Mus musculus: one gene and its partner. The protein of the gene in region 1 purifies or fractionates together with the protein of each later gene. This does not show direct contact. Links are inferred from orthologs where the notes say so. Each region holds a gene or a part of one and is shown in the gene's direction. Other genes may lie near its edges.

Region 1 (4,225 bases):
GTTTCTTTTCACTTTCTTTCCTCTTCCTCCTTTACTCTCCCTTCTTCCTTTGATCTTCTTTTTGTAACTTCCTGAGTCCAATTAGTGCTCGCCATACACACATAGGTGTAGGGCCATCCAATGAAATATGGGCAAGCTACCATACACACATAGGTGTAGGGCCATCCAATGAAACATGGGCAAGCTACCATAGGTCAAACCACTGAAGAATGATGACTTTCCTGCCATTAGCGGCCATCACCTACCAAACGCTCCTCAATTAGGGGTGGGGTAATTAAAAAATTAACTTCAATTATATGTATGTATGTAAATGAGAGGGAATTGGATTCTTTGGAGCTGGAGTTATAGGCTAATGTGGCATTGGTGACTGAGCTGCAGTCCTTTGGAAGATCACTAAGTGATTTGAACTTCTAAAAATCACTCCATATGTCAGGAATGAGGTATGTTTTTCACTTTTTGGAGTTATAATGATCCTGGTAGGTATATGTATTTGAGAGGGCACAATAAAGAATCCACCTAAATGGCTGCTCCATCTCCTAGGAGGGGAGAGTTGTTTTTTTTTTTTTTTTTTTTTTTTTTGAGCAAGTCAGACTAAATATCCAGAGGCATCTGGGAGAGTCCAGACTAGGAATAAAAAGAATCAGACAGGACTTGGCCAGGGCTAGAGCAGGAGAAATAGCAGAGAATATGGAAATAGCAAGAATAAATGGCTGTCTAGAAGAAGGAAAGTCTGGGATTTGAGAAGGGCCAGGATGCTAGTGTGGGGTTTTGAATGGTATAACACCTACTTGTGAATAGAGACTGTAGGAGCCTGGAGACAAGCCTGGGCTTTGATATGCAACCATAGGTATGTGCCAATGGAGAGGCAAAGGAGATGACTTCTAGATATCTAGAACTGTTTCACAAATTCTTGAGAAATGCTGACTTTTACCTAACTGCCAGAAATTCTTCTATAGTCTAGCTTGAGCTGGGCCAAGATTCTTATTTCTGTACTTATGCACTGCCCTTTGGAGTTTGGGGAACTGGAATGACCTTTGGACCTGGCAGTCTATGAAGTATGGACTATGCTTTCCCTAGTAACCATTAGGGATTTTATGGGAGTCTAAGACACAGTTTATGCTCCTCCAAGGCAAACAGACATACAGGCTGCCATACAGCTGGCAAGAAGAGATAAGTGGTGGCTTTAAAAGCTGTGTGCAAGTCATCCTACTGAGGAGATGACCCTGTCTTGATGATTCTCAATTAGGAAATCTGGGGCTGGTAGAAGCAGGGAGGAGGGGAGTTCTTCACCCTCAGCGCATCCTGTTCCTATGTTCCAGGCATCTACAACTTCCCTGCTTGGCCACATAGCTCAGGACTGGGTTGCAGAACCATGTCTCCAGCCTCACCCACTTTCTTCTGTATTGGTGAGTCCTGAAGGTGACCTGGGAAATGCTTAGAACAGTCCCTATATATAAAGAAATTAAAAACATCTTGTCAGTGGTAAATTTCAGTACAATAATGGTGTCTATGGGGTTCCAGTTGCTGGACGGGAAAATAGAGATGTGATATGTTTGGTTTAATTATTTTAATTTGCTTTGGCTTGGCTAGGACACTTGAGCATGTGTTCCTGGGCTGGTTACACTTTCCCCCCTCTATACCAGAAACACCAAGGTGCTCTCTCTCTCTCTCTCCCTCTGTCTTTCTCCTCTCCCTCTGCCTCCTCTTTTTTCTTTTCACTTGAAAAACATTTATTATTTATTTATTTGTTGTGTGTGAACTAAAAAGGAAAGGGACATGATTGCCCCTAGATATTGTGGAGAAAAAGGTTTATTATAGATATGTGGGAGAGCATAGCCAGAGGCAGGGACTTCTGGGAGAGTTCAGAGAGGATGTGACCCTGAGTCATGTGGGGAGAGGGAGGAAGGGAAGATAGAGGGAAGAGAGGGAAACCAGGGGCAGCAGCCAGGAGACCCAAAGGTACAAAGAGAGAATGGGTAACCAAAATGTTCAGCACTCCAGTGGTTGTTAAAATTCTGAACCTTTGAAGCCTTAGTATAACAATAGCATAGTGAGCAAAAGAAATCCGAAAAAATTTCTTTTTCCATCCATCCATCCATTTATTTATTTATTTATTTATTTATTTATTATCCAGATCTCCAAGTCCTCCCTCACAGGCATCTCTCCCTCCTCCTCCTCCTCCTCCTCCTCCTCCTCCTCCCCTCCCCTTCACCTTTGAGAAGGGGAGGTCCCTACTGGGGACCCAACCTACCCTGGCACTGTAAGACTAGATACATCTACTCCCATTGAAGTCAGACAAGACAGCCCAGCTAGGAAAGCAGGATCCACCGGCAGGCAACAGAGTCAGGCTAAGCCCCTGCTCCAGTTGTTGGAGGACCCACAAGAAGACCAAGATGCACATCTGAGCCTAGGTCCTGCCCATGCTTGTTATTTGATTGGTGGTTCAGTCTCTAGGAGTCCTCCTACAGAAAACCCTTATCTCATTACTCCTCCCCCTGTTTCTATGAGGGTGCTCCCCTACTCACACACTTCCATCCTCCCATCCTGGCATTCCCCTATACTGGGGCATTGAACATCCTCAGGCCCAAGGGCCTCTCCTCCCACTGATGTCCAACAAGGCCATTCTCTGCCACATATATGGCCAGTGCCATGGATCTCTCCATGTGTATTCTTTGGTTGGTGGTCCAGTCCTCAGGAAGTCTGGGGGGGTCTGACCTTTTGACACTGTTGCTACCTCCGTGGGGCTGCAAACCCTCTCAGCTCCTTCAGTCCCTTCTCCATCTTCTCCATTGGGGACCCCGAGCTCAGTCCAATGGTTGGCTGCGAGCTTCCTCCTCTGTATTTATCAGGCTCTGGCAGAGCCTCTCAGGAGACAGCCCTATCAGGCTTCCATTAGCAAGCACTTCCTGGCATCCACAATAGTGTCCTGGTTTGGTGGCTTTATGTGGGATGGATCCCCAGGCGGGACAGTCTCTGGATGGCCTTTCCTTCAGTCTCTGCTCCACACTTTGTCTCATATTTCCTCCTCTGAGTATGTGTTGCTCACCCTCATAAAAAGCACTGAAGCATCCACATTTTGGTCTTCTTTCTTTTTAGGCTTCATATGGTCTGTGAATTGAATCTTGGGAATTCCGAACATTTGGGTTTATATCCACTTATCAGTGTGTACATAGCGTGTTTGTTCCTTTGTGACTGAGTTACCTCACCCAGGATGATATTTTCAAGTTCCATCCATTTGCCTGTAAATTTCATGAAGTCATTGTTTTTAGTAGCTGAGTAGTATTCCACTGTGTAAATGCACCATATTTTGTGTATCCATTTCTCTATTGAGGGACATCTGGGATGCTTCTAGTTTCTGGCTATCATAAATATGGCTGCTATGAACATAATGGAGCATGTGTTCTTATTTCATGTTGGAGCATCTTGTGGCTCTATTCCCAGGAGTGTTATAGAAGAAGAAGAAAATGAAAAAGAAAGAGAAAAAGAGGAAAAAATAAATCTTTGAGAATTTTGTGGGGTGTGTTTAGATTACATATACCTTTGCCCCAAATCCTTTCCTTTCCTCTATTCACTCAACTTTGTGTTCTTTAAAAAACGTGTTTAAAGCTATCAAGTGCAGTTTGTGCAGCCTATATACTCTTGGGTATGTGACCTTCCACTAGATTATGGTCAACTTTGTGAGGGAACACCCTAAAGAAAATGGACTCTTGCTTCATCCAACAGTGGATGGAAACAGATGGAGAGACCCACAGCCAAACATCAGGCAGAACTCAGGGAGTTGTGGAAGAGTGGGGGGATAGAATTGAGTGAGCTGGAGGGGCCAAGAATACAAGAAGGCCTACAGAATCAACAAACCTGGGCCCGTGGGGGCTCACAGAGACTGAACCACCAATCAAAACATGTGCAGGAGATGGACCTACGCCCCCCTACACATTTGAAGCAGTTGTGTAGCTTGGTCTTCATGTAGGTCCCCTAACAATTGGAGCAGGCGCTGTCTCCATTTTGGTTGCCTTCCACTATATCCCCTTCCCCTAGCTGAACTGACTGGTTGGGCCTCAGTAGGAGATGTGCTTAGTTTGGATGCAACTTGATGTGCCAGGGCGAGAAGGGGAGGGAATAATGGGTGGAATGGATCTGTAAGGGTGGGGCTGAGAGGAGAGGAGGGAGGTAGTGCGTTTGGGATGTAAAGTAACTAAATAAATAACCTTGTACAACAGTGTCTTTT
Region 2 (3,649 bases), on another chromosome or scaffold:
CAGGTGCATGTCAGCATGCTAAACTCTAGATAAAAATTTCAACACATTTGAAAGGCCAACAATATAAGAAAATTGTATTTGCACTGTACACCATGCCCTTTTGTGTTTAAAGTTGAACTGGCTACAGTGCCCCATAGAGGTTCCAGAAGAAACTGCTTCTAAGGAGGGGAGGACCCAAAAGGGATATGCAAGAAAGGGAGGTGAACAAATTTGACACCACATCCATTTTGATTGTATCTTTTCTATTCCAAGTAAATTACTTAAATTTCAAAAAAAAAAGTCAAAGAAGAAAATTACTCATAACCCATCATTAGCTTGAACTCTGAGTAGGAGCCCACATCTTCCTCCTCAGGTGCGAAGTTCCCTATCAAGTGGACAGCTCCAGAGGCCATCAACTTCGGCTGCTTCACTATCAAATCTGACGTGTGGTCCTTCGGAATTCTCCTGTATGAGATTGTCACCTATGGGAAGATTCCCTACCCAGGTATCATTTCCCTACACCCCACTCCATTGTGAGGGGAGAACAAGCACCCCAGAGACAATAGCTCTGTCTACCCAGATCTGTTCTTCTGACAGAACTTAGGTCCTTACCCTTTATGCAAATCTTACTGAACGATGCTTAGATGTTTCTACCTCACTCTTCCTTCAGTGAGTTCACCACTTACTACATTGTGCACCTGGCGCTGCTCCTGGTGTTTCAGTGAGGCAGATTAGACACTAGTGCCCCTCTGCCAAAGCAGGGTTCCAGATGGGGCAGACCATGTCCAAGGAAGGAGGGTCTTCAATGTCTTCTGCTAGTTGTGAGAACTGTGGTAGTGGCTCTTACCCTCTTCAGGGGGTAGTTGCTACTGTTCAGCACTGAAGGACTCTTCTGATCTTAAAGGTAAATCTTTAGTGGCTTGAGAGATAAGTCATCAGTTGAGAGCACTGGCTATTCATGCAGAGAACCTAGGTTCTAGTCCCAGAGCCTGCATGGCCCCTCACAGCCATCTACCAACTCCAATCTCAGGGGATCCAACACCCCCTTCTGGCCTCTGCAGGCATTGCTGGTACATAATGCACAGACATACATGTAGGAAAAACACCCATGCACATAAAATTTAAATTAAGAGGAGAAAATTGCAGTTAAATCATTAAAGTTACTAATTGCCCTATTCATTTAGAAATACCTGGGCGCATGGTCCATACCCAAGGCCAGAAGGAGGGAGGTTCTCCACCCTTCCCTTCATGGGAGAAACTGATGCTTAACAGATGATTTCCGCTTGTGGTGGGGTAAGAGATGCTGGAGAAAGCATGTGGATGGCTATGGGCTACCAGGAATTCTTGCAAAGAAGGGATCTACTGTCTTTACCCAAGGGCTATTAATGTCTGAGACTCAAAGGCATGAGGGAAGGAGGCTTGGAAGTTGAGAGTTGAGCATCCCACAGTGGCAACAGCTAGCTTTGGACTTGGGCCACAGGAAGGAGGCCAGTGTGATTTGGACCTTACTTGATACCTGATGAATGAATAATGGACAAATGAATGAGTAACTCAGGAAGGCTAAATAACCTTAAGACAGTCTCCATACTGTGGATGAGATACTAGGAGGTCAGAATATCAGAGGAAGCAACGGACCCAGGGCCAGAGAGTGTCACAGGCCATGGGCCTGGGTTCAACAGAGTACTGATGACTGTAGGAGAGCCTCCTGTCACACTCAGCTTGTCAAGATGGGGAGATGGTGGTGAAGTTAGTGATTTAACACCGCTATAAACTAGGAAAACTATTTCTACTTATCCACAGTATCTAAACTGACAGACATCATTCTGTACGTAAGCCTATATCTATCTAACCCTACAAATATATATCTATCTACCTGTACAAATAAAAGATTACATATTCATATATATATATATATATATGATACCTGACATAATAATATAATATTACATATAATGTGTGCATTATGTGTAATATGTTGTTACGTGTGATATTCCAGCCAAGACCTCTGAGGCTTGGAGAAAATGACAGGGCCCAAACCAGTGGCAAAGGTGCTTCTAAACTATGGCCGAGCACCTCCTAAGACCTTCTGCTTGCCTATCGCTTTTGGTGTTCCAGATTTGGAAGGATTCTGTGTGACTGAGTGAGTGAGTGAATGAGATCACAACTCTGTGTGTGTGTGTAGAGTCCACAGCATTCTGACCAGAACTACTCTTAGCTCCTTAGAGGACATGATTCATAGACACAAAGAAACAGGCAACATTGATGACTGAGAAATCTCCACCCTTTTGCAAAGCTGCTATGTAGAGAAAGCCCTTGTGATTGGGTTGTCTGTGACCTTCACTACCCAGAAAAGTGTGTGTGTGTGAAGATCTTTTTTAAAAGGTGTTTTAATCGACTATGTGACTATTTACAGAATAAAAAGGGAAGAAGAGGAGAAATAAGAAAGCCATGAATAAAAAGAACATAATTATGTGGCAGGGGGCTGAAAATGTAATTTACCAAAATGCTATTATATTTAGGCAAAGAGATAATAGAGTAGATTAGTATTTCTTCTTGGCAAATTTCTGAAGTTTCCTTTCTTCTTTTCTTTCTTTCTTTCTTTCTTTCTTTCTTTCTTTCTTTCTTTCTTTCTTTGAAGTTTTTGTATTCTTTAAAACTACTTGTTATTAAATAGTTTTATTCTTGTCAAAAATAATATATGCACATTAGAAGCTGGAGAGATAGTTTAGCAGTTCAGAGCACTGGCTGTTCTTCTGCAGGCCCCAGGATCAGTTCCCAGCATCCACCCGGTGGCTCACAATTGTCTGTAACTCCAGTTCCAGGGGATCCAGTGCTCACTTCTGACCTCACAGTCACTGCACACACATGGTATACAGACATACATGCAGGCAAAACACCCATATACATACACTTTAAAAATAAAGGGGGAAATGTGCAATAAAAGGTCAAACTTTCTAATAAAAGATTCCCATTCTTCCCGACCCATAGATGGTTTTCAAAGAAATTGCTCTCAGAGTCTGGCTACTTAATGATTTGCAGCTCGCAGTTCTAAACATGTTTTTAACTTTCAGTAGTGTGGGAGCTGTCCATCATGCTTATCATTAAATAAAATGCTCACATGGTCCCAAAATCAAGAAATAGATAGCTATAGAGTGAAGCATGTCTCCCCTCTACCCTGAGCACACAATTCCCAGCCCACGGACAACCTTTTGTACCAGTTTTGAAGCCAGAGACCCACAGAAAAGAATTAACCGCTTTCTGTTCTCTGCTCAGCATGGGTCCCTTGTCATAACATCCTCCAGACCATCCACAGTGTGACATGTGCCATGGTGTCTGGCTCTTGTTCCTGCTGTCCAGCATTCCTTCCCCACAGTCTTGCTGGAGCGTTCTCTATTCAGCTCACTCTGGCTCCTCTCTGTTGGTAGAGCAGAAGGCTGGGCCTCCATACAGGAAGTAAGTGTGTTGCTTTTGACTTCAGGAGCTTGCTGCTGTCAGGTGGAGAACTACAAGGTGAGAAGCAGAGAGGCAAGCAGGCTCATGCAGAATGAACTAGGTCGTGGGGATGACACACTCCCTAACATCTCTCTCCTAAGAGATTTTATGTGGGCCCTCAAGAGCAGGCACTGGCTCCTGTGAGAAAGGCTTCCATCTTCCTTAATGACCTAGCAGC

Evidence for each region. Proteins that work in one complex are often made in the same cells at the same time.
Region 2: the proteins of Gp6 (region 1) and Lyn purify together in Homo sapiens (affinity purification with western blotting; 5 studies listed by BioGRID and IntAct, with this or other methods). This does not show direct contact. The link is inferred for Mus musculus from reciprocal best matches to the Homo sapiens genes GP6 and LYN.

Annotation. Positions count from the first base shown.
Region 1 is NC_000073.6:4,394,832-4,399,056, reverse strand, and holds the start of Gp6 (platelet glycoprotein VI precursor), read left to right. Parts: upstream 1-1,312; 5' UTR 1,313-1,372; coding exon 1,373-1,406; intron 1,407-4,225.
Region 2 is NC_000070.6:3,782,621-3,786,269, forward strand, and holds part of Lyn (tyrosine-protein kinase Lyn), read left to right. Parts: intron 1-352; coding exon 353-484; intron 485-3,649. UniProt on the Homo sapiens protein: Non-receptor tyrosine-protein kinase that transmits signals from cell surface receptors and plays an important role in the regulation of innate and adaptive immune responses, hematopoiesis, responses to growth factors and cytokines, integrin signaling, but also responses to DNA damage and genotoxic agents.